4 linked regions of the Schizosaccharomyces pombe genome follow. The gene in region 2 interacts genetically with the main gene of each other region. Each region holds a gene or a part of one and is shown on either strand. Other genes may lie near its edges.

Region 1 (5,505 bases), 3.4 Mb from region 2:
ATTCGACTCTTCGCAGCATAAAACTCAAGGCACTGACAATAATGACTCTTTTTACCACGACGATACAAATTGCATTCATCTTTCACGTTTAGAAAAGATTCGGGAGCTTCTCACATTCGTACAGTTGGAACTTAAATATTATGTAGAACCTCTTAAGAAAGAATTACAAGAGACAAAGACTCTATTGGCTCAAAAGGAAGAAGAGATATCTAACCTAAAAGATAAATTACAAAATGCAGGATTATCTTAATTTATTCATTTACATTGATTCATGAATTAATTTTGGGTACCTTGTCAAAACAATTTGGTCTGAAGGATAACTGACATAATAGCTCAGCATATTCGACATGAGGAAACTAATTTAGAATTCTCTGTTCAACGACGGCAACATTACTCTATAATTCTAATTTGGCAATGTGCAGTGTTTTAAGTAAACAGTTGTAGGGTTCTCTTAATTGAGTTCACCCAGAGGGAGCTATTCCAAAAATTTTGTAATTTTTTGAGTTTGCGTATAGCCGTTAGTGGGCATGTTCATTACTTTTGTCATGCATGTCTTCTATGCACCGTGAGAGTATTGCCGAGCTGGCCAACTTATTCTTAAGATCCTCATTGTCTATTTCGTGAGCTGCAGTTGTAAGTATTTAACATTAGAATAATAGAGAGTTTATACATACCATCTTCCAAAGAGCCCCATCGATTTGTTTGGTACTGAAGTTCTAAGTTCGTCAAAGCGGCAGCTTTTTCAGAGTTCAAATATCCTTTTAAAATCATGAAAGAAACTATGAAGCTCTTGCAGCAACTAACAGATCTTTCAAAAGCTGCTAGTTGCCAAGAGTTCAGCGAGCTGAGCCAGTTTCTTATGCGTTCGTGTGTTTCCTGCGTTTGTTTATGGGCAATAATACCAGCATCACCATCCAAATAGCTTAATTGCACACCAAGTTTGTTTTCAAAGGTTTCTTTCAGTGGCCACCAATTTTCCTTTTGCTCCTCCAACAATTTCCCTTCATATTCTGTTTCGGGGGAGTAAATTAGAATTGTGTCGGTGTCAAGGAAACGAATTAATTGAGTAGAAAGTAGTTCCTTTTCTTCTTTTTTGAATTGTGATATGTCAATAGCTCTCGAAACTAGGGAAGTAATTGGGAGATTGTGTTGTCGAACAGAGGTTGATGGTAATCGATCCCATTCTAGGGCAATCAAGTGTGCTAGTAACTCCATTTCTTTAGGTACCTTAACAATCTTCCCAGAAGGTGATTTTAAATTTCGTCCATCTAATTGAATCAAGACTTCTCCATTTTGGATTTTGGTAGCTGTATTCTTCCAAAATCTCCTGAATGATGGTTGCGGCAAAGGAGAGGAAGCTTTTGTAGAGTAAAACGAATAGCACGTTTTAAATGACAGCAAGTTTTTGCTGGATAATCTGTAAAATTGTAAAGATCGAAGCATCTTACAAAAATAGAAAAAAAAGGGTATTCAAGGTGTCTATCTGAGACACTAAAAAATCTTTCGTACTTCAAACTGCCAAAATTTAATTTTTAATTATTGTTTAAGAGTTAATTATTATGATATACGTTTTTAGTTGGTGTTCTCCAAAATATTGGTTACTATGTAAGATGAGTCTAACAATATTTTGTCACAGGCATGATGAGAATAAGTTTTAATATTTTTTTCTAAAAGTAGTTTTTAATTAAGCAAGAAAAAACTCTTTTAAAATAAATTAATAGACGTTCCTATCATAGTTCCTAAACCGTTGTTTACGTTAGCCGCCTTGAATTTAGCTACGATTAAGACTACTTTTTGACAAACCGTAAATGTAAATTGATAAATTACAATTAGATACTCGGAAAATTAGAAGGAACCTTAAAAAAAATCAATTAACATGTGCTGTTAAAAACTTAAAGTTGAAGAATAGATACAAACAAAATAAAACCTTTCTATAAATGCTACGGTATTATTCTACATAACAAACTACATTTACTAATCGAATAATAAAAATTAGAACAGGATATTGACTATCAACTCGCGTTATGAAAATCCATCAAAAACTCATTAAATATTATTACAATAAAAACCTTGCGCTGGTACAAAAGAACATGTACATTTTTAATAGCTTAGCTATAAAAAATGCAAGTAATTAAAAAATTTAGCCATTTATAGACGTTATACCAAAACCTTTTTCTTCTCCATTTTCCTTTTTGCATATTTTGGAGGCTGAAAATTCGGTATATTGGAAGTGGCCAGCTTCTCAGAAACCAAATCTATAGGTTTGGGTAATTCTTTTTCAACCGTTGTTTCTGCATTCAATCTTCTTATAATTTCACCATCCTGAGACGAAAACAACGATTTAGCTTCACGATCAATTTCTTCTTCCTCAAATTTCCGCTTTTTGGACTCCTCTTCTTCAATTGATCCATATGCATCTTCCTTTAAGAGAGCGATTGCATCATCAATGTTAACTCGAGACCTTCGAGCGCTCTTTTCACGTAGTTCGTCGAGTGCATCACTAATTTGCATTTGTCGTTTAGTGTCTAATGTTTTTTGTTCTAATTTTTCCATTTCGTCCTCCTCAGGAATGTCATTGCGTTCAGCTAACTCATTTTCTTCATATTCTTGTAATCTTTTTTCATGCCACGGCTCATAATTCCTGGAAGCTCCACTCTCTGCTGCATAATCTGCATGTTTTGGATCGGTTATAAATGTTATTTCAGCAGCACACCTAGTGCAGCGAATATAAAACCTCAATATATCAATTGAAAAATATTTTTCGCCGGTTTTCTCCTTCCTAGCGTTAAACTTTTTTCCTTTATATATATACTCTCCACAAGTATGACAGCGCATTGAAAATGGAGTCATCAAACGAACAGTCAATTTCCCACCATTTGGTCCTTGAAACTTTTTCTTTTTCTTAGGAGGACGAATGGAAGGATCATAATCGGGCGGGATATACTTGTTAAGTACCTTTCGTTCAGACATTGTTGGAAACTATGAAAAAAAAATGAAATGAACGTACGAGAATTGCTTTACCAAATTCAAAAAAAAAGAATAAATTAAAGTAAGGAAAATTTAACCGTCCTTTTGGGTTGGAATTATTTGACTTTACAGATGAATTTGAAAATGCTAGTTTTATGTGGATATGCGCTTTTTGTAAGCGAATGGCAAAAGTACTAGTACTATCTGTAGTTCTTTGACACTCGATACGTCGCGGTAATAAATTGAATGCGCACATAGCACTACGTAAACATATTTAGTACCATCCTTATATTTCCTTATACAATACCTGAGCTGAGCTATCGAGACGTGAGCAAGCGTTGTTTGTCAATCTTACACCTTCCGGTGTTTTAAGAGTACTTTAGATTCCCTTATAAATTGTGTATTATTTAAATGCTTCTGATTAATTTTGACTGATCAGTCTCCATAGTACTTTACGCTTACAGCAATAGACAATTAATGGGGTTGTTGGCATTAATGGCAGGAATAGATGATTTATATGAACTTGGTTAAAAATCGCTGTATTTCAGCTTATGTTCGTCTTAGTAAAGTTGATAGCAATGATCATAAGAAAACACCTGCTATATTAATTTATCATATGTTCATTTAAGTAAAGCTTGTGGAAGAACCCAAGTTTAAAATGGTTTAAAAGATAACTGTATAGTAATTACACAATTGTCATTTTTCGTTAGTTTAATAACTAAAGCTTTGTGAAAAGAAAGACTGACTTATATGTACGTATGTAAATCATTAAAACGAGAAGAAAATAGCTAACGATGTCCGCAACTGAAAAGAATGAAAGCTGACCCGGGATATTCTGAACAAATCTTTTTTAGCAGACAATATCGAAATGGGATTGCCTCCATATCGAGATAAAGTGTTCAACTGGAGAGAGTATATGTGGAAATGGTACCACCAATTTAATGAAAATTCAACTAGATAATGAAGCACCGATTGTTCAAAGTACTATTCTTACAACAACGAACAATTTGATTGAATTGACTTCTTTTAAAATAATACTCCAATTAAAAACAAACAAATTAAGCCGACATTAGCGATATAGAAGTCGGTATACGTTTGTTCATTAGTCTGAGTTGGAAATAACATAACTCAAACAACACCAACGAGTGATATGCTTGGCTATCAAAGTAAAGAATCTAAATGAGTGAAAACTTGAAGAACAGCAGCGACTACCTCAATGAAAAGTAGTTGCTCTTCCTTCACAGAGGAAAGTTCTTCGGAAATTAGCTCAGGCAAGTTAGCGCCAACTGACGAAGAAGCATGAAGATCAAAAGGCCATTGCGAAAAGTCACAGAGAAGCTCGTCTACGCGAGAAAATGCTTTTTCACGATCTTCATAGTTTAAATTGTCAAGAGCGTTTTCAAGAACATTAGCAGCGTATGAGGAACAAGCAAGGGCAACAGTGCGAAGGCAACGAAAAGACAAATATTCTGGGAAAGAAGGTGAATTATCAATTTCAATTACTCGTGAAGTAAGAACAGAGACCACTCTTTTTTTAATGGAATCTTTAATGGAGGTATCGGCAATGGGATGAGTTGGCATGTCGAAAAGTAAGAAATTCTTCTTCTCATTTCTTAAAATCCCTTTGTCAACAAGGCCCTTTGCCAACCGTTCGCGTACTTGTCTTAATTGATATCCAATCTTCATCACATTCCACGTTTCACCACTCATCAAATCAATCCAAGAGGTTACAGACATGAGTTCGCTAGTATGTATCATTTTAATAGCTTCGTCTAAAAGAACCTCACCTGTAAGTTTTTCATCAACCAACTCCACTACACGATCCGCTAACGGAAAGCGTTTACGATTAACGTCTTTTTGCATACGCAACTTTCCACGAAATGCGAGCTCCATTAGAATACATCCCCGAAGAGAATAAGAAATGCTGTCATTCCAAAAAGAAAGATAACCTTGCTTGTCTTTTAGACCCAATAACAATACCTCCTCCATCAGTGTAAGCCTGGGTTGCTTTTCCCTTTCCGCGCCTTGTTCCAAATCCTTTGGATCAAAAGCGATTTTATGATCATCATCGTATCCCTCAAGATGACTTTTGGAATGAGAGACGCTCCTCATCTCTGGACGTTCTTCGTCCGAACTTGCGGCAGCAACCCTCCTTCGGGAAAGTCCACCTGACATTTCTTTGAATTTTATGCCTAAATACAAGAAATTTCTTGTTGTCTATATCAAATAATCAAGAAGATGAGAGAGATATGCAAAACGTTGAAAGCAAAAGTATGCAATACAGGAGTTTCGCTAAAGAAAGAAACGTTCAAACAAATGGGAAAACTTTTGATTAAAAATACCTTTTGCTTTTGTTTCCTCAGAACCTTGACGGCCAATTAATCCAACTTTTCGTTGGGATGCAAATTATTATAAATTGGTAGGTTGAACCAGAAGTACCCAACTAAATACCGAATTTTTTGAAGATACTGGGAATATTTCCACCAAAGAACTTTGGAAGACAACAAAGAATTAATAAATACTTGATATTTGAGGATT
Region 2 (5,323 bases):
ATTATTCATGAATGAAATAGCGATCAACTTTGTATTGACCTCATGAACACTTGTAGTGTATCGTGCACATACCCATTGTTGTCGAGTCCCTCATCAATTACGGCGGTAACTATACGTATATTGGGGAAACGATCGTGAACATTTTTCAACCCTTCAGGCGAGGCAATTACATTGAGGAAAATGATTTGTTCTTGTTTGCAACCCATGTTGATAAGAATTTCCATAGCACAAATAGCAGAGCCACCAGTGGCTAGCATGGGGTCCAAAAGTAAGACATAGCGTTTAGAAATATCTTCGGGAAGCTTGATGTAGTGTAACACAGGTTTATGAGTTTCCTCATCACGCTGTATCAAAATTTTTCCAATACGAACAGAACGACAGCATTCACGCAATCCTTGTTCCATACTTTCGCCAGCTCTCATAATGCTAACGCCGCAAATACGACCATCAAACATTACACCCTCGTATTCAGCATTTTGAGCAGTCGTTACCTTAGCTGAAGACACTGGCAAGTGGTTGAGGCCCTCTTCAACAATTAAACGAATGATTCTATTGGCATAAAAAATAAATTCAGACTAAATATCATGTTAGCAGGGATAACAGATTCAACAAAGAATACACGAGAAGTTGTCGAATGTACTAACTGATAATGAATGCTTCCTATCATCCACTGATAAACATTTATCTCCCCATTAATAGAGGAAAAAGCTAAAATTTCTTGGACATATTAACACATTCATTTCAATTAGTTCTTAGACCTTGACTCAGTAATCTGTTGTAAACTGAACGCGCATACACGAGGTTTCGTTTTATCACGAATGATGGTAAACAACCCTTTTAATTGATTTGTCTGATTTAGTACGTACACATTTCCATGCTCAGGTACCAGCGACATCTTTTTGACGATGTATGCTTAAATATCTACCTATCAAGTTGTTTACCAAGTAAATGGTAAAAAGTAAAAGCACAATAACACATTTGCTTTTAAGCTATCAATAGCAAAATGAGTTTTATCAACCTTAGTATATTTCGTTAAACATAAATAAAGATTTACAACATCATTTCATAATAACATAATTATGATTAATGCGTTACTTAGCGCAGTAAAAGATTTCTACTCTAGCAGGCTTGGCAAAATTAAATAAGAATATCAATTAACTATTGAACATATTTTAGGGCAAGTTGATGTTTTTAAATGAATTACTGCTTATATTTAAGAATGAGAAAGACAGTACAAATTTTTGAAGCACACATTCATACAATTGGACTCCATGCAGCTTACAATCTTAATTGGATTTCAATGTTTTTTACTTGTAATTCTCAATTCATCCAACTGTATTCACAAGAAACCAAGAAATGAGTTGTATTGTAAGGATTTTTAAATCAAATGCAGTAAGAACACATGAACATATTTTCATATCTCTTTCATTCTAGACATTTTTTGTACATGGAGAATACAATAAGTACAAGGTCGAAGTCAACCACACTCTAGGCACTCGTAATTCTTAGCCTGTCATAGTGAACAGCGATTCTACCAAACCAAAAACAAAGCAATGAAATGGCTATCTTGCCAATGAGCAAGATATCACACCCATATTGATGGTACATCCGAATACCAACAAATAAGCTTAACACTATCGTCCAATTGTCGGTTCATCAGATGGAATCTCGAAATTCGTATGTTCGACGTCTTTAAAAAGGACAAATATATACAAGAGCATGCCTAGATTTGTATACACTAAGCTCGTCCGGTTTTGCCAAATACAGCGTCTTGTTCATTGCAATGTAGTTAATACCTTCTTATCGCTTCAGAGAAATCTCTTAATTGAAACGACTGAGCATCAACGAAAATAAGATCACCATAAATGAACGGAAACTTTCAACATTTAAGCTCTGAAAAGAATCTTCCTTTTGCAAGTTAGGCCAATAGCAAAAAATCATTCCTTTTCTTCCTCATAAGCTGCTTCAGGGGAATAGGCTTCTTGATCATTTATATTATCAACCTCTTTAGCTTGATTTGCAACAGCATCACAAGCATCAATCCAGTCGCTGTATACGTCGATGGGTGCCGAAAGAGCTTGATAATGTTAGTAAATAAGTGTACAAGAAAATTTCATAAAAGAACAAGAAATAAGAAGATAAAGAGACGATATAAAAGAAATTAACCGCAATATTAATCGTAATAATTTACGTGCCGCTATTGAAATAAAACACCTCTTTCATACCTGTAATTAGACATTGATGACTCTGACCACAAATTTTGCAGTGTAGATTTCCAACTCCTGATTGTTTATCACTATCAAAGTGTTAAAAAAAATGAAAGTAGTTAATAAGCATACAGACTACAGCTCACACTTTTTTCGTGGTTGCAAAATAGGCACGTAAACTAGTAAAGTTAGTAAATTTCGTAATTAAACTATAACTCACAGTCGTATCTAATGGGGGTGCCCTTCTTTTGGGTTTCACTTTTGCTTTTGCTTTTCTTTTACCCATTTGCAGAATCTGTTTACGTTTTGCAAACTGCAGATTCGTATTAGCGGGTTCACATTAGCACTCTCATCCTTAGGAAGGGTAATGCGGAAACTCATGTAATTTCGACACTTGGTAAGAGACGGTCTTATTTAATTTTAATGAATTAAATGTTTAAATATGATATTCTTATTGAGTTTACTGATGCACATTTGTTTCTAGAGTTCTTTCTATTCATGATGATACTTTGCTGTATGAAACGCAAACGTAGGCATACCAGTCTTACAAACGAAGCCAGATCCTCCATAAGTAAATCTTGCACTCTTTCTCGCAACGTAGTTGACCTTCTATGGTTATTTTGTAAATGCGATAAAACTCTCATTGACTAACTAGAAATTAACGTAAAACATAATTGACTTCTCAGCATTCACGTGACGCCGATTAATTTGGAATTACTGAAACATCTTAGCATAGGCCTTTTGTTGGCGCTTCTTATAATCTTTTTTCTTTTGACGAATTTCTGCAAGCTTCTTTGAAATTGCAGGATCGTTACCAGCCTTAGCAAGTGCTTTCTCTGATTCTTCAAAATTCTTCAAGAGACCTTGAGCACAACCCAAACGATAGTATGCTTTCTGTTTCTCTAACTCAGTAGAGTTACTGGCCTCAATTACAATGTTGGCGTTTCGAATAGCTTCCTGAGGTTTGTTCTGCTTCAAAGCTACAAGGGCAAGGTTTGCGTATATGCTGTATCGTAAAGCATTATACTCTTTCCAGAAATCAGGGGATTCCTTAGAGTCATCGTTGGGAACAGGGTATTCCATTAGGTAGCGCAAAGCTTTTTGCCATTTGGCAACGGCTGTATCCAAATTTTGCTGAGCAAATTGCTTGTTAGCAATTCCCTTTAAGTCGCTAGCAATTTTGAAAATGGCAGTCTCGGACTTATCACCCTCGTAATCATCAGGAAATTCTTCCAGAGAATCACCAGTAACGTCTGGCTTTGGTGCCTCAATCTGATCCTTTGTGCAAGTTCCACATTCTTCAATAACAACAGGTACAACCGGATCGTCATTTTTGGTCTCCAAATTTTCAATGGTACGAACAGTAGATTTTCCTTGAATTACCTTGCCAAAAACAACATGCTTTCCATCCAAATGAGGGGTGGGAACAGTAGTAATGAAGAACTGAGATCCATTGGTATTAGGGCCGGCATTGGCCATGGAAAGCAAGAAAGGCTTATCATGCTTGAGCTCAAAGTTCTCGTCCTCAAACTTCTCGCCGTAGATGCTTTCTCCACCCGTTCCATTACCACGAGTAAAGTCACCACCTTGAAGCATAAAGTTCTTAATTACTCGATGGAACCTTGAACCTTTGTAGGTTAAACAACGGCCATCCTTCTCAAACCCATTACACAACGAAGCAAAGTTTTTGACAGTTTTGGGAACTACGTTGTCGAAAAGTTCAAAGTAGATTGTTGGTTGAATTTTACCATCAATGCTAATTTTAAAATAGGCGTAAGTACTCATTTCGTGCAAAAAAAAACAATGATCGTTTTTAAGTAATGATATTTCACTGCCAGTCTCCTCAGTGTATTCACACCACAAAGTTGCTTTAAGAAGAAGAATGAATAGCGATTTTACGCAGACGAAATATACAGATCTGTGCAAACTATTTAGTTTTAGTTATTAAAAAGGTGGTGATTTATATTTGCAACCTACTGCGAAGAGATTTTCTACGAAACTTCTAGAAACATACTGTATTAAAAAAATGCTAGCAGAAGAAAATTTGACTTTTTATTAGACCAAAAAATATTTATACTTTTTTCAATTAGATTGCTTCTTCGTTAAAAATTCATAAAATACCTGATTTAAGTTAGCACACACGGACTATAAAGAAATATAAGTGCTGTTGAGTGAAGTCAACAATGTATTTAAATTTTAAAACACAAAATTGTGTTTCCTAATAGTTTTAAAACATATTTCGATGAAGTCTTCAGGCAATGTAATTACTTACCGATTTGTCAATTGAAACATTTCCAACTGACTTCAATCTCTTTTTCCCTTCCTTTTGCTTATTAAGTAGCTTTTGCTTCCTTGTTACATCTCCCCCGTAGCATTTTGCTGTGACATTTTTTCGAAGAGCCGAGATAGACTCCCTGGCGACTACTCGGTTGTCGATGACAGCTTGAAGTATTACTTCATATAGTTGTTTAGGAACTAACGGCTTCAACCGTTGAATCCATTCACGGCCTCGCTGAAGTGCAAGCGAGCGATGCACTATAGAACAAAGAGCATCTACAGATTTTCCACTCATAAAAATTGATAGTCGCACCAAATCAGCAGGAACGTAATCCGATTCTTCATAATCTAAGGTAGCGAAACCACTTGTTGTCCCTTTTAATCGACCAAAGAAATCTTCAACCAGGTGAGCAAGAGGTAATTGATATTTTATCATGCATCGCGATTCGGACATATAAGTGCAGTCCTTTTGGAGTCCTCGACAAGATTCACACAACTTGATAACATCTCCTAGGTACTCGCTCGGTGTTATAATTGTTGCATCGACGGTGGGCTCTAAAAGCTCAGATATACCTTGATGATTTGTTGGAAATAGATTAGGATTCGATATTACTTCTTCCCTTCCATTTTTATATTTTATGCGATACGGTACTGTGGGAGAAGTGATTAATAATTCCTTTCCATATTCATCCTTTAATCTGTCAATAAAGACAGAAAGATGCAACGTTCCAAGAAAACCTAAACGCCATCCCATCCCAAGAGCAGACGAGTTTTCTTTTTGTACATTAATAGCACGATCATTAAGGGCCAATTGTTCGATGTTATCATTTAGTCTCTCG
Region 3 (6,696 bases), on a different chromosome or scaffold from region 2:
ACTAGACCTAATTATTCACCAAATAATGGTTCTCAAAGTAATAACACTGTACATCAATATCAGCCTCCACGTATGCCACCCCCTTCCACAAGGCCTCAGACAGACGGCAATTCTAATCAAATCCCTATGGAGAATGTTGGTCATATAAGTTTGAGCTCTGCAAACTCCCATGCTTATGCCCCACCCTCAGGTCCGCCTCCGAATACTGGTGCTAATTCTTATGGCAACCCAAATTATAGTGGGCCTCAGCTGCCAAACACTCAGACTCAATCTTATAACTTAGCAGGAGGAGGAAACTTTCAGTATCAGTATTCAACTTGCCAAGGGAAGCGAAAGGCTTTGCTGATCGGAATTAACTATCTCAATACCCAAAATGAGTTGCAAGGTTGCATTAATGGTACGGAATGCGAAAGGTCAAGTAAACATATATTAACTTGTTTAAGATGTCATGTCTATGTCCCAACTGCTGATACAGCGCTACGGTTACAAGCAAGAAGATATGGGTATGGTTGATTACGAGAACATCTTGCTAAAACTTTTTTAGTTATTATGACAGACACGGCAAGCAACCAAAGGGCAATTCCCACTCGTCAAAATATGTTAGATGCGATGAGATGGTTAGTAAGTGATGCCCAACCTAATGTAAGTTATATGTCATGGGATTTACTTCCTAATGCTAACTATTTAGGATGCATTATTTTTTCACTATAGTGTAAGAATCATCACTTTACATCTCATACTCACATGCATAGGGCCACGGAGGGCAAACAAAAGACCTTGATGGAGACGAAGTTGATGGTTATGATGAAACGATATATCCACTGGACCATCAATATGCCGGGCAAATTATAGATGATGAAATGCACGAAATAATGGTTAAGCCTTTACCAGCAGGATGTCGTTTAACAGCTCTCTTTGACTGTAAGTCAGTGATTTTAATCTATTTTTAACAAAATATAGCTTGTCATTCAGGTGGAGCTCTCGATCTTCCTTTCACGTACTCTACCAAGGGCGTTCTAAAGGAGCCAAATATGTTAAAAGAATCTGGTATGGATGTACTTCATGCTGGCCTTTCTTATGCCTCTGGCGACATTATGGGAGCTATCAACAACGTGAAAAATATATTTACCAGTGCTACCAATGGATTTAATAACAACGCTCTACAGTACTCTAGACAAGTTAAGTTTTCTCCTGCTGATGTTATTTCTTTATCCGGATGCAAAGATAATCAAACAAGCGCAGATACAAGTGTTAATGGATTCGCTACTGGTGCTTTATCATACGCCTTCCGTGAAGTCGTCACTCAAAATCCCCAACTTAGCTACTTGCAGTTGCTGAGAGGTATTCGACAAGTACTTTCCAACAAATACTCACAACTGCCCCAATTAAGTTGTAGTCATCCTTTAGACATGAATCTTGCCATGGTTTTATAGTACACTAAACATTACTTGATCATTGAAGTTCTATATTTTTGTAGTTCCATCAGATATTTAAGGAATTTTCAATTAAGGATAAAATTTAAATCACAACAACTCAGGAAATCATATCTAATACTTTATTGAAATATTTTTGTTTGCAATTTATAATTTTGCTTAAAAAACGAGCTCAAATTAAAATTATACACGCGAGAAAACTCATGGCTCTTCCAGTCCGTTCTGTTGGGGATGAAACCATTCAGATTTGATAGCCTGTTTAACTTCTGTAGCATTCTTTATGGAATCTTCAAGCGAATGTCCGCGAGCACAGATATAAAACTTAAGTTTCGGCTCTGTACCACTTGTGCGAATAGTCATAATTACCTCTCCATTTTCAAGCTCAAACGTTACGTTATCTGAACTTTTTGAAACTGGTAAAGTAGCTTTACCATCCGTGGAGCTTGAGTCGTAACCTGTAGTAAGGTCGCGAACATTTGTAATTTTCTTACTACCAAGGGTTGCCGGATAACCCGATTTTGTGTCATAATGTCTCAAGGCATCAACCAAAGCACGAAGCTTGGGAGTGTCGCGTGAAAGGAAATATGAGTTTTGCGTAGTGTAATAACCATATTTTTTAGACATTTGCTCAAAAACCTCGGTAATTGAAAGATTCTGAAGTTGAAGGCGTTTCAAAAGATGAAGGAACGTAATCAAAGCATTAACCCCGTCTTTGTCTCTAACTATACTACCTACCATATAACCAAGAGCTTCTTCATATGCCAATCCAATAAATTTCCCTTGTTTTTCCAATTCTAATGCTTTATTGCCTAACCACTTAAATCCAGTAAGTGTTTCAACATGATGGAATCCTTCTACTTTGGCCATGGACTTTACCATAGCACTAGAGACAGTAGTTGACAAAACGTAAAAATCATCAATTGGCTTTCCAACGTTTTTGTATTCTTGAAATATAAAATAGGCAAGGATACAACCAACTTCATCTCCGGTAAATCTTCTCCAAGCACCATTAATTTTTTCTGCAAAGGCGAAACGATCTGCGTCAGGATCAGTTGCAAGGACATACGAAATACCATTAGCATCAGCTTGCTCGTAAGCCAAATCCAATGCCCCCTCCTCTTCTGGATTTGGAAATTTCACAGTCGGAAAGTCAGGGTTTGGAGAATCTTGAAGAGGTACAGAAATCATATCGCCTTGTTCGCCAAATAAGTGTAATGCTGAAGTAACAAATGGTAATCCAACGCCATGAATAGGAGTGTAAACAAATTTCAAAGATTTCATTTCCAAGGAAAAGTTGTTTTCGGAATGGAATTCGTGGAGCTGAGACCAATAGTTTTTTAAAAGACCAACTGCAAAATCCCGATCTGCTAGTTTATGATTTTCAACCAAATTTTTGTCCCAAGTAATGGGCGTTAAGTTTTTTTCTATACATGCAGCAATTCCCTTGTCATGGGGAGGAATGATAGCACAACCGTTTCCCCAATAGACCTTGTATCCGTTATAAGCTGCGGGATTATGGGAAGCAGTAATCATAACACCAGCTGCAGTCCCTAGGGTTTTAACGGCAAAAGGGACTAAAGGGGTATGGACAAGATGATCGAAGAAATACGTTTTGAATCCTTTTTGCAAGAACACTGCAGCAGTAAGTCGAGCAAAAGTATTAGACTTATGCCTATGATCGTGTCCAATTACCACACCCAGCTTTGCAGCTGATGGTACGGTTTGAAGCAAATACTCAGCGAAGCCTTGTGAGGCTTGAATCACGGTCAAACAGTTCATGCGAGCGAAGCCAGCACCAATTTCAGCTCTCAAACCTTTGTAAACATTAGTAAATGAATAAACGAACTTGATAATGTTAAAACATTAAGATGTATAGAGAGAACAATCGCAAGCTGAAAATCTAATTACACTTAAACCAATTTCGTACAAGCACGTTATATAACATTCCAAGCAAAAAAGACCAAAACAGATAGAAAAGAAGAAGAAGAACGAAAAACTCTTTCTGAAATATGACCAATATGATCATCACAATAAATTAGTATACGCAGTAAGGAAAGTGACCGATGATCAAGTATATCACTTCGACTCTAATCAAGGAAAACACAATAAAGTAGTTTAAGCTACCGGCTGTAGCACTGAGAATTCTTTATTAAGAAAGAGGCATTATTTAGCGTTCTCTTTCAATCCACTTCAACTTGCGAAATATCTCTTAACAATCTCAATTTTTTCTTCTTTTGTAATAAAAACATACCAGATGTACCAAATCCAATCCTTGGATGCATAATTTGCTTGAGGGTGGCATAATCTTCAGCCTTAATCAATTGTGAAACTTCATTCCTCGTAGTTTCATCCTAATGCGTTCAATCTGTTAGTTCCACAGTACTTCCATAGTAAATATAGTCCTAATACTTACTTGATCTAATTTGAACCACTCATCTACTAATTCTTGCAAAATCGGATCCATCTTGCCAAATGGGAATTGTTACCATTTGTTTGCTACACACACAATACACGTATCTCATCACCTCGTTTAACGCGTCCTTACGCCGTGGTATTTCGTATCCGTTTTCTTACAAAAATGATTTTAATAAAATAGACTCAAAAACAAAAAGTAGTAATAATATTATACTCATGACCTCCAATTATTCTAGAGAATTTCTTAAAACATTAGCTGCAAAAAGAAGCCTAGTAATTTGAAAGCAGCAGTTAATTACGATATATACCGCTTACAAAAAGGAGAAATTGGAAGAATTCAAGACCTGACGTCAATTCGCAAGCTGAATCGTTTTAATTAATAGGCGTCGGACAATGGGATTCACTTAGGCTTGGCGACGTTCTTGTCTAAAAATTGCTTGTCGGAATGTGTCATTGAACCGAAAAGGTTTGAAGCTCTTGACTAATAAACAACAGTAACTGATGTTAACTTTTTATAGAATATCCCAGGTTTCAATTCAACACGTTTATTCATAAATCTCAATCTATGTTATGCAGATGAGATTGAAAATCAATACCATCAAGTACAACTTCTCTAAACTGAACGGGTTAAGTATGGAATGGTTTAAAGTTTTAAGTACTGGATCACTCCAAGCTTTGAGATACGATAAGAAAATTAGTGTTAGTACATTTGTGGCTTTAATCACACCTTTTCCATAACCAGGAACTAAGTTTTCAAAGATCTACTATTCGATGATGAAAAAATAGCATTCATAAAGTTGATAACAGCATACATAAATGAAACTGAAATATTGAGGAGGTAAGGCAAACATGATGACCATAGTTTCAATTGACTATGTAATACGTACTATGGCTCATTAAAACCTATCAAAGAAAGAGAAATACGAATAAGAGGAAATTCAAGCCTGTTTAGAATGAGAAGAGAATAAAGATTGGGTTTTGGCGAAGGATACGCTGTTGCATTAAAACAGCCTTAAATAGGTTCTATAAATGGTTAGCATGTAAAAAAAATTAAAATTGAATCATGAAAAAATATTAAAAAATAATAAAAAAACCTACCACTTAAGAGCTTGTTCAAATTGTTGAGACGAGAACCAACACTGACATCAAGAATATTATCACCAATTTCAACAATTAGTCCACCGATGATAGAAGGAGTAACTTTATTGCTAACCAGTAATTTACCCTTGCCATATTTCGATTTAGCTATCCGAGATTCGAGACGAGAAAGGATCTTCGAATCTAGAGGAGTAGCTGAAGTAATTTTAACTTCAATTTCTCCTCTTTTAGCGCGCATCAAAGTAGAGAATTGTTTCTGAATACGAGTTAAGAGATAAAGACGATGATTGTCTAACAAAACATTGTAGAAATTCTTCAAAAGGGGTTCATTTCCAGTCATCTGCGTCAAAGAACTAACCAATATTTTCTTATCCTCACGAGTCAACCAAGGACTAGAAATGTATTGTTCAAATTCCGGTCTCTGTTGAAGAACACCAGACAGTTTATTTAAGGCCTTCTCAACATTGTCCAACTTGGATTCTTTTACTGCAGCGGTATACAGAGAAGAAGCATAAGAACCTAAATAAGAGAAAAGAGTTAATTACCAAGACAAAAAATTCAGACTTTTGGATGACAATGAAGATATCAGTCAAAATGGTAGCAATTAAAAATCACCTTTTACAGTACATACCATCTAAACCATACAACTGGACAGGGGGATGAGCAGAAGCAGTTGCAGTTGCTAAAGAGCGAATTCCTAAGGAAGGTAATCGAGCAGTGATGGGAATGGAGCGACGAAAAATATGATTCATTGTAATGTTTCACACTCTCAACGTTTAAGGAAGTTGGTTAATGGCTCCGATCATACCTCCGTTTTGGTGTCATCCTTTAAGAACAAGCTACAACGTGCTTCCTTGCAATACTTTCTTATTCAGGTTGTTACCTACAAGTTGCCTATTTGTTAAATTGAATACAGGTTGATTATTAAAATGAGATTAATTTGAAATGTTGTATAAGTGGTTTTTCTTTTTTTTTCATTAGATAAGAATCAAATGCCAAATTTTAGAAATACACGCAATTGATCATTAGCAGTATTGCCAAACAATATACACTAAAAGCCTATGTGGTAGGTTGCCTAGTTGCCTATTAAAGACTTACATATTCTTACTATTCTAATGTATATCACCTATGTTTCTGGAGATGAGAGGAATTGTTGTGTGTGCAAAACCTACGATGGCAAATGATTCAATTAAGGGTTTTCATGTGATATTGTTCTTAGCAAAGCTGCTTCTTAAGATTGATTAAATTAATACATAAAGTAGTAAATCTAAGAGCAACTGAAAAGATTTCATATAGTAATTAAAAAGAAGGTAGCCGTAGGCAAGATTGTGCAAAGATTAGTAACGATTTCCCTTAGGAAATGCTGGAATTCAAAAAGAAGAGATAAAATGTTTAAAAAACCTTGAGATAGAGAAAGCCTTATTTCTTCAGAAGCCGAGAGCCAGCAAGTGAAAAGACATATAAATATATACCATTCAGGGCCATAATCCAAAAAAAAAAAAAAGAAAGTAAGCAAAAAGAGTTAAAACAGTTCAACGCAAATGTTTTCGACACCATTGTAAAATTGAAGCGTTTAAATAATATGGAAACCATATTTAGAAAGATATAAAAAAAATGAAAAGTTCCAATTGGAAACAGCTTCAATGTTGAGATTCGAAAAGATTAATTTACAGCTTCACTATTTTTCCACGATAAACTGCTTCCACTATACTGTCCGTATCATTTTGAGAAATCCTAAGAACAGCTCTTT
Region 4 (6,323 bases), 4.7 Mb from region 2:
TGTCAAAAAAATTATTGGATTTCGGACCTAATATGTTTTTTGAAATCACATTGTAAACCAGCATTTATCTTAATTGTACTAACTTTACATTTACTTAGTGTTAAAGTTTTTAGGGAACAAGCTCGTGAAACAGATGAAATAGACTTTCAATTAATTACATCAAAAGTAACTAAATTAATTGACTCTTCAGAAATTGAAGTTGATGCCGAACCAAAAGAGGAAAATAAAAAAGAAATACCGGAGAAGCTAAAAAATGTAAAAGTAGATACTGAGAATCCTTCCGCTGAACCGTATACTAAAGCAAAAGGTGATGTCTCATTCCTGAAATTTCAAAAACGGCTTTCAAGAGCGCCTGACCAAATTATGCGTTATTACCATGCGACTTCTAATGAATTTCCTGGTTTATGGTGCAATAATGAATGTATACCTTCATCTATACCCAATTGCGCTTGCGGAGCTAAAAGGCAGCTTGAATTTCAAATTTTACCTACTTTGATATCAAGTATGAATATTGATCATTCTGCGAAAAATGCTCTGGATTGGGGAATATTATCTATTTATGTTTGCTCTGCTTCGTGTGATTTAGCCAACTGCGGGCTGGCCGAAGAACTTTGTTGGCTTCAAACTTTTTCAGAGCAAGGAATTATAGCACCTGAATGATCTCCTATACGGCGGCATATATTTATGGAAAACGGAATTTAATTAGTGTTTATTGTGCAAATAGTTACGGGATTCTTGACTTTTGAGATGGTTGCTTTCGTCCGGTTGAAAACATTTGTAAGAGGGGCATGAGTAGAGTTTCTTTTTATGATTACAGTGAGTAGAGCAGGTTAAGAATCTAGTACTAGATTACTCGGCGTAAGTTAAATCTGCTGCAAAGAACTATGCAAAAAAAAGGTTACTTTAATAAATTTTTCGCAAGAGATTCGAGATAACTTTTTCTTTTAATATCTGCTAATTAAGTTTGTGATGTCTCTTAAATTGCTCATGCTTCTAATATCCTATAGTTCAATAAGCCTTTTCTTGTTCGTGTGTCCAAAGTTGCTAAGACCTCCTTTTGAAAAGAGGCAAACAAGCATGTAAAGAACACCCAGATATCAAACCACCCACAATGGCGCAATGGAGAAATAGTTGTTTTATCATTACAGCAGTCAATTATGCATTTGTTTTCATTTTATAGACGAGACTTTCGCTTATTATTTACCTTTATACTACAGATCATCAACAATGTCAGCAAATAAAGTTAAACGACTTTATCAAGAGTTCCAAAGCTTACAGAAAAGATTACTAATAAAATTTAAAAGACATTTAACGACTGTATTAAATTAAAACACGCAGCATATTCATTGAATACACGCTTTAAAAATTGTGACATCAAACACAATGAACTTCATGGTTGGTAAAATAAACGAATGAATAAATGAAAGATCGATGTAATAAGAAGCACATCTCCTATAAGCATAGTTCAGAAAGCTTAAACAATCTGATAGATGGCAGAGTATTCAAAAAAAAGCGACAAAAACCATGAAACAAAATATCATAAAAAAGAGTTTCAGAGCAAGAAGAAATAAGAGTATTTGACAGTTTAAAGAACGAAAAAAAAGCATAAGAATTACCATTATATCTCACAAGATAATTTCCCATTTTGTGTAAATTTAAGGAGTTCAAGAAATATAAATCTCTCCGACTTCACTTAATCCACCAGAGGAACTGATAAGGGCATTGTTATTACCAACACCGGCTCCGAGTTCGGTAGCAGGAGCAAACCAACTGTAACGCTCAACAGATCCATGTCCATCTAAAAAGCCAAGAGCGCTGGTCATCAAAGTCTTAACTTCATCCAATGAAGGTAAATTGCTATCATCCCAGTTGGTGCAAGCAAATTCAGTAAGCCAAATAGGGAGACCGTAATTGGCGAGAGAGTTAATATAATCTTGCAAATTGCTAAAGTCAATACCATACCAATGGCAAGCAATGAAATCGATCTTACAATCAGAGCATGCGCTCATGAATTCAGAAAGCCAATCTTCACCTACGTTACTGATGGCAGGTGATCCCAAATAACCAATGGCACCAGATTCACGAAGAGGTGTTAAGTATTGAAGATAATAACTAGCTGCAGTAGCTGCATCTATAGGATTTCCAGCAGCGGACAAATCAGGCTCATTAAATCCAATGACGGTAGCACCACCAGTGAAAACAGAAGAAGCTGAAGAAAGGCTATTGGCATCATGTTGGTTGAGAACATATTCAAAAGAGGAACTCAGACCAGATGAATAACTACCCCAGTTGTAATACCAGTTGATGCCCTTATTGACAAAGTTATCAGAGTAACCAAGGTCAGTTCCAGGAATCCAGGCCAAACCGCGCTTGCCAGAAACTGAAGAACTAGTAGGAGATGCTGATGCAGAGCTTGAGGTAGCACTGGAAATAGTACTAGAAGCAGCAACAGAAGTGGCACTAGAGACAACAGAGGAAACGACAGCTGAAGAGGAGGCGGCAGCTGAAGAAACAGCAGGAGTACTAACTCCCTTGTTAGCAGCAGAAACACTGGCACTTGCAACTACAGAAGAAAGAGCAATAGATGATGAGGAAGTGGGGACGTAAGATGTAGCAGAGCCAGCTGATATCTCTGATGAAGAAGCAACTGAAGACGAGACAGGAGCCACATAGGATGAAGTTGACGTAGCAACTTCAGAGCTAGCAGGATAAGAACTAGTAACTTCAGTACTAGAAGCAGAATAAGAGCTAGCAACTTCAGTACTAGAAGCAGGATAAGAAGAGCTAGATTCGGAACTGGTAGCAGGATACGAAGTGAAAAATTCAGAACTAGAAGTGGCAGATGTCTCGGGAGTTGATACAGGGACAGAAGTATTGGACCATACGGGTGCAGTAACGTTGTCCATAGTATATAGAGGAGTACTAACAAAAGTGGCAGGGTAGCTAGTGGCAGAGGAACTAGCAGCAGGGGCACTGGTTGTTACAACCACAGATTCCGTAGAGGTAGTAGGTAAAGCCGTTGAAGCACCATCGTCGGACGACTCGGTAACAGAAGCTAAACCAGTGGAGTAAGAAGTATATGAGGAAGATGAGTTAGCACCAGGAACTGCGGTAACATAAACAGTCTCCAAGATAGTCTCATACACGGTTAAAACGCCATCATCATCACGACGGTGATGGCGATGGTTAGGAGCATAGGGCAAAGCTCCAACGGTCGATAAAAAAGCTAAAGCGACGGTCGCGAAAGTAGTACGCATTTTTTTAGAAAATACTAGATAAAACGCGTCTAATACTAAAAAAAGAAAGAAAAGATGAAATTTGGTATATAGTTGATATATAAAAGAGTGGAAAGGAGTGTTGCTAAAGAACGGACAACGACTCTTATAGACTAGCTTCTACTGTGGTGGTTGGTGAACGACAAGCCGCGTTCATTATCAAGCCACTCATATATATACCAGTTATGAAAATTTGATTATACATAAAAACTTTAAATATAATATTTATTAAATTTGCTGAGTAAATTCAATTTTTTAAAATCAAAGTCAGACTCATATTGAGGGAAAAATGAATCTGAGTCGGTTACCACTGAAACACCAGGTCCACCTAATTGAACATCGTAAATAGAATTTTTATGGGCTAATAGTGATTCTTTACATAACTTAAATTCCTCTTCTTTGCACTCAGGTGTTAATAAAGTAATCGTACAACCTCCACCACCGGCACCTGTAAGCTTCGTCCATCCAATTGACTTAGTGGCTTGTAAAACGCGATCAATGGAATAATGGGATACACCCAAGCATTCTAAGAGTTTTTGATTAAGAACAATAAACTCTCCTAACTTTTTAGCGGAGGAGTTTTTATCGCTCTCCGAAGTCAATGCGAGGACGGCAGACTTTGATATGCCATCGATTGCATCTATTATTGAGTCAATCACAGTTGGTAGTCTTTCCTTCAGTTCAAAAACTCCTTGTACAAGTTTTTTAGTACTTTTTGGTTGTTTGGTATCAGTGATCATAACAGATAAGGTATCTTTAGGCTTTAAGAATTCTTTCATGGCACTCTGATGAGCTGTAGCTTTACGAAAAGCGATAAGTCCTCCATTTGTTGCTACTGCATTATCAATACCACTTGGTGTTCCATGAATACAGCATTCACCTAGAAAAGACCAAGCCTCTATCAACGCAAGTGCTTTGTTGTTTTGAAGAGAATTTGAGCTAGGAGGTTCAATATTACCAAAAGCTAGTAGTAAACTTGTAGCGACAACAACTGATATAGTAGCACTACTACCTAATCCAGCACCCAAAGGTACTTGGGAGCTAATAGTTAAAGTACAACCCTGAGAAGGAGAAGACAAAGACGTGAACAAGTAAAGGGTACAAAGCATTGCTGAGTGAATAAGTCCGTTTTCTTCATTTTTTAATAGCTCTCCTAATCCTTGTAAAAGGTCCAGATTGGGAGATGATGCCGGGTGCTGAACGTTTTCCACTGTTACATGCTGCCAAGGTAGCGATTGAAGATTCCATCGGCGTTCGGTCCCTATATCACTCATCACAATTACTATTTCATTGTTATTAGTCGTCTGTAATTTACAGTAACTCCGTAACGATACAGCTGCAGCTAACGCAGTCTAGAAAGTTAGCATAAAAATTTAAATGATCTCCATATTTTCGCTTTAAAATGGCTTAAGATTAGAATCAAAAATAAGCATGGCTATAGCAGAATGACATTTGCGACGACTGTCAAAGTTAAAAGTGGTGTTCGCTTTGCAAATACTATGTTACAAAGAAATCATATATGCATAACAGAGCTGTATCCAGTACTAGCCTGTTAAAAACTCTCGCTAATGTAATCTGCTTTAAACCTTAGGTAAACTTACAGCTCCATATACAACGGCATGTTCCCCAAACAAAATCGTTTTTCCTGGCGACGAAACAATAAGCGATTTTGACATTTCAGAAATTTTTTTTACGTTCAACTTCAAAACACAGTTAAAATAAGGTGATGGTAAATAGGCGACGAAGGTTGGTTATCGACAGATATCTACGCAAACAGGACAAGGTGATGATGGTATTGGAAGTTGTAGCAAAAGATTGGTATTTTAATTAAAAAGTTACTTTATTTGATTTTGTTTTAAAAGTTCTTTTGTAATAAAAATCGCGATGTTATAGTTTTCATATGCGCTAAGGAAAATGACTTTTTAAACGAGGTATACAGCGCAAAACTCGTTAGACATTTACATAAAACCATAAAATACTACATTTATAGCTTATAGCAAGAAAGCAAGAGCAAGTACATATATGATGAGTATTGATAACATAATATTTAAATAGACAGCTAAGCAAATTGAGAAGTAGTGTTCAGGTATAAAAAAATGCTGTTTAGTAAGTACATAATCTGATGAATTCATTAAAAAGTTTACTCATTAACAAATTAAAATATCTTAAAATAGCCATGCAAGTTATTCTCCCGTACAAAGTCTAATAAATAAATAAAAAATACAACCAATAAACCGAAAAACCGAGAAAGCAACGACGCTCCAAAGTCTATTATAGTTAGTCAACTGATAAAACAGTCTTGAAATCAACGTACAGAAACGACAAATAAGCGCTTGTTTCATTGTTTGAAATAGAGATCCCGTTAATTTTTGGTATACTTAGAACAATTCCTACCAAAAATAGGTTTGAGAGAATCCAGGTAAGCACAACATACGTTCGAAAATTTTTGTAAAAATCCTCTTGCTCTCCGTGATTAATGATGGGACTGTTGAATTCTAATGAAGGAGATGCCAGCAGTTTAACAGCATCCTCATACTTTGCATCAATGTCTGATTGATTTGTAGGAATTGCTATTTCTACATCAGCTCCTTTTTGAAGGAGTCTTGCAACACCTAGATCATTGTTGGTAAAGTGATCTCCTTTGGTACCCCAAGAAACGTCATGTGTGTTGCAAAACGCATAAACATTTAATACATTCGTATACATTATTGAAAGAAAAATGTATTGCACAAACGAAGTGAACATATGCCATGGATCAAAAGAGATAATGGATACCACAAGATACATTCCATAGGTGGAAGAGAGTGATATCACAATATTTATAAAGACATTACTATTCAACAATGCAGAAGTATAAGATGAAGAGGTGCTGCTTGCGTTATGTATAGCATCACTTATAGCACGGTAAGCAATCCAACCGGAGCAAAACAAAAGATATCCCATTAATATAGAGTACATTATTACCATGGATAAATAAAAGTTCGGCGAGCCATGAGGTCGATTTCCTAAAGCTAATACAAAGCATGTCACCAATAAAGATGCGTAAAT

Evidence for each region.
Region 1: mutations in SPOM_SPAC1B3.02C (region 2) and cwf16 together harm fitness more than expected from each alone (negative genetic interaction), as found in Schizosaccharomyces pombe (one large-scale study listed by BioGRID).
Region 3: mutations in SPOM_SPAC1B3.02C (region 2) and pgm2 together harm fitness less than expected from each alone (positive genetic interaction), as found in Schizosaccharomyces pombe (one large-scale study listed by BioGRID).
Region 4: mutations in SPOM_SPAC1B3.02C (region 2) and asl1 together harm fitness less than expected from each alone (positive genetic interaction), as found in Schizosaccharomyces pombe (one large-scale study listed by BioGRID).

What each region holds. Positions count from the first base shown.
Region 1 is NC_003424.3:1,486,613-1,492,117, forward strand, and holds cwf16 (splicing factor), read right to left. Parts: upstream 3,144-5,505; 5' UTR 2,971-3,143; coding exon 2,158-2,970; 3' UTR 1,998-2,157; downstream 1-1,997. Other genes in the region: SPOM_SPAC9.11 (uncharacterized protein), read left to right, coding at 1-250; F1-ATPase chaperone Atp12, read right to left, coding at 519-625, 675-1,443; gpp74 (golgi phosphoprotein 3), read right to left, coding at 4,129-5,142.
Region 2 is NC_003424.3:4,927,024-4,932,346, forward strand, and holds SPOM_SPAC1B3.02C (Elf1 family transcription elongation factor), read right to left. Parts: upstream 2,523-5,323; 5' UTR 2,494-2,522; coding exon 2,428-2,493; intron 2,387-2,427; coding exon 2,340-2,386; intron 2,297-2,339; coding exon 2,226-2,296; intron 2,078-2,225; coding exon 1,938-2,077; 3' UTR 1,149-1,937; downstream 1-1,148. Other genes in the region: SPOM_SPAC1B3.01C (uracil phosphoribosyltransferase), read right to left, coding at 73-575, 797-895; cyclophilin family peptidyl-prolyl cis-trans isomerase Wis2, read right to left, coding at 2,922-3,992; GTPase GUF1, read right to left, coding at 4,290-4,328, 4,480-5,323.
Region 3 is NC_003421.2:2,264,024-2,270,719, forward strand, and holds pgm2 (phosphoglucomutase), read right to left. Parts: upstream 3,918-6,696; 5' UTR 3,898-3,917; coding exon 3,847-3,897; exon of another isoform or gene 3,785-3,846; coding exon 3,685-3,784; exon of another isoform or gene 3,445-3,684; intron 3,283-3,444; exon of another isoform or gene 3,248-3,282; coding exon 1,635-3,247; 3' UTR 1,512-1,634; downstream 1-1,511. Other genes in the region: metacaspase Pca1, read left to right, coding at 1-397, 444-503, 545-642, 689-712, 753-921, 961-1,433; F0-ATPase delta subunit atp5, read right to left, coding at 4,861-4,871, 4,947-5,465, 5,578-5,698; SPOM_SPCC1840.07C (phosphoprotein phosphatase), read right to left, coding at 6,614-6,696.
Region 4 is NC_003424.3:190,632-196,954, forward strand, and holds asl1 (O-glucosyl hydrolase Asl1), read right to left. Parts: upstream 3,420-6,323; 5' UTR 3,258-3,419; coding exon 1,665-3,257; 3' UTR 1,297-1,664; downstream 1-1,296. Other genes in the region: tsr402 (SSU-rRNA maturation Tsr4 family protein), read left to right, coding at 99-660; mevalonate kinase Erg12, read right to left, coding at 3,488-4,627, 4,877-4,951; chs1 (chitin synthase I), read right to left, coding at 5,459-5,543, 5,590-6,323.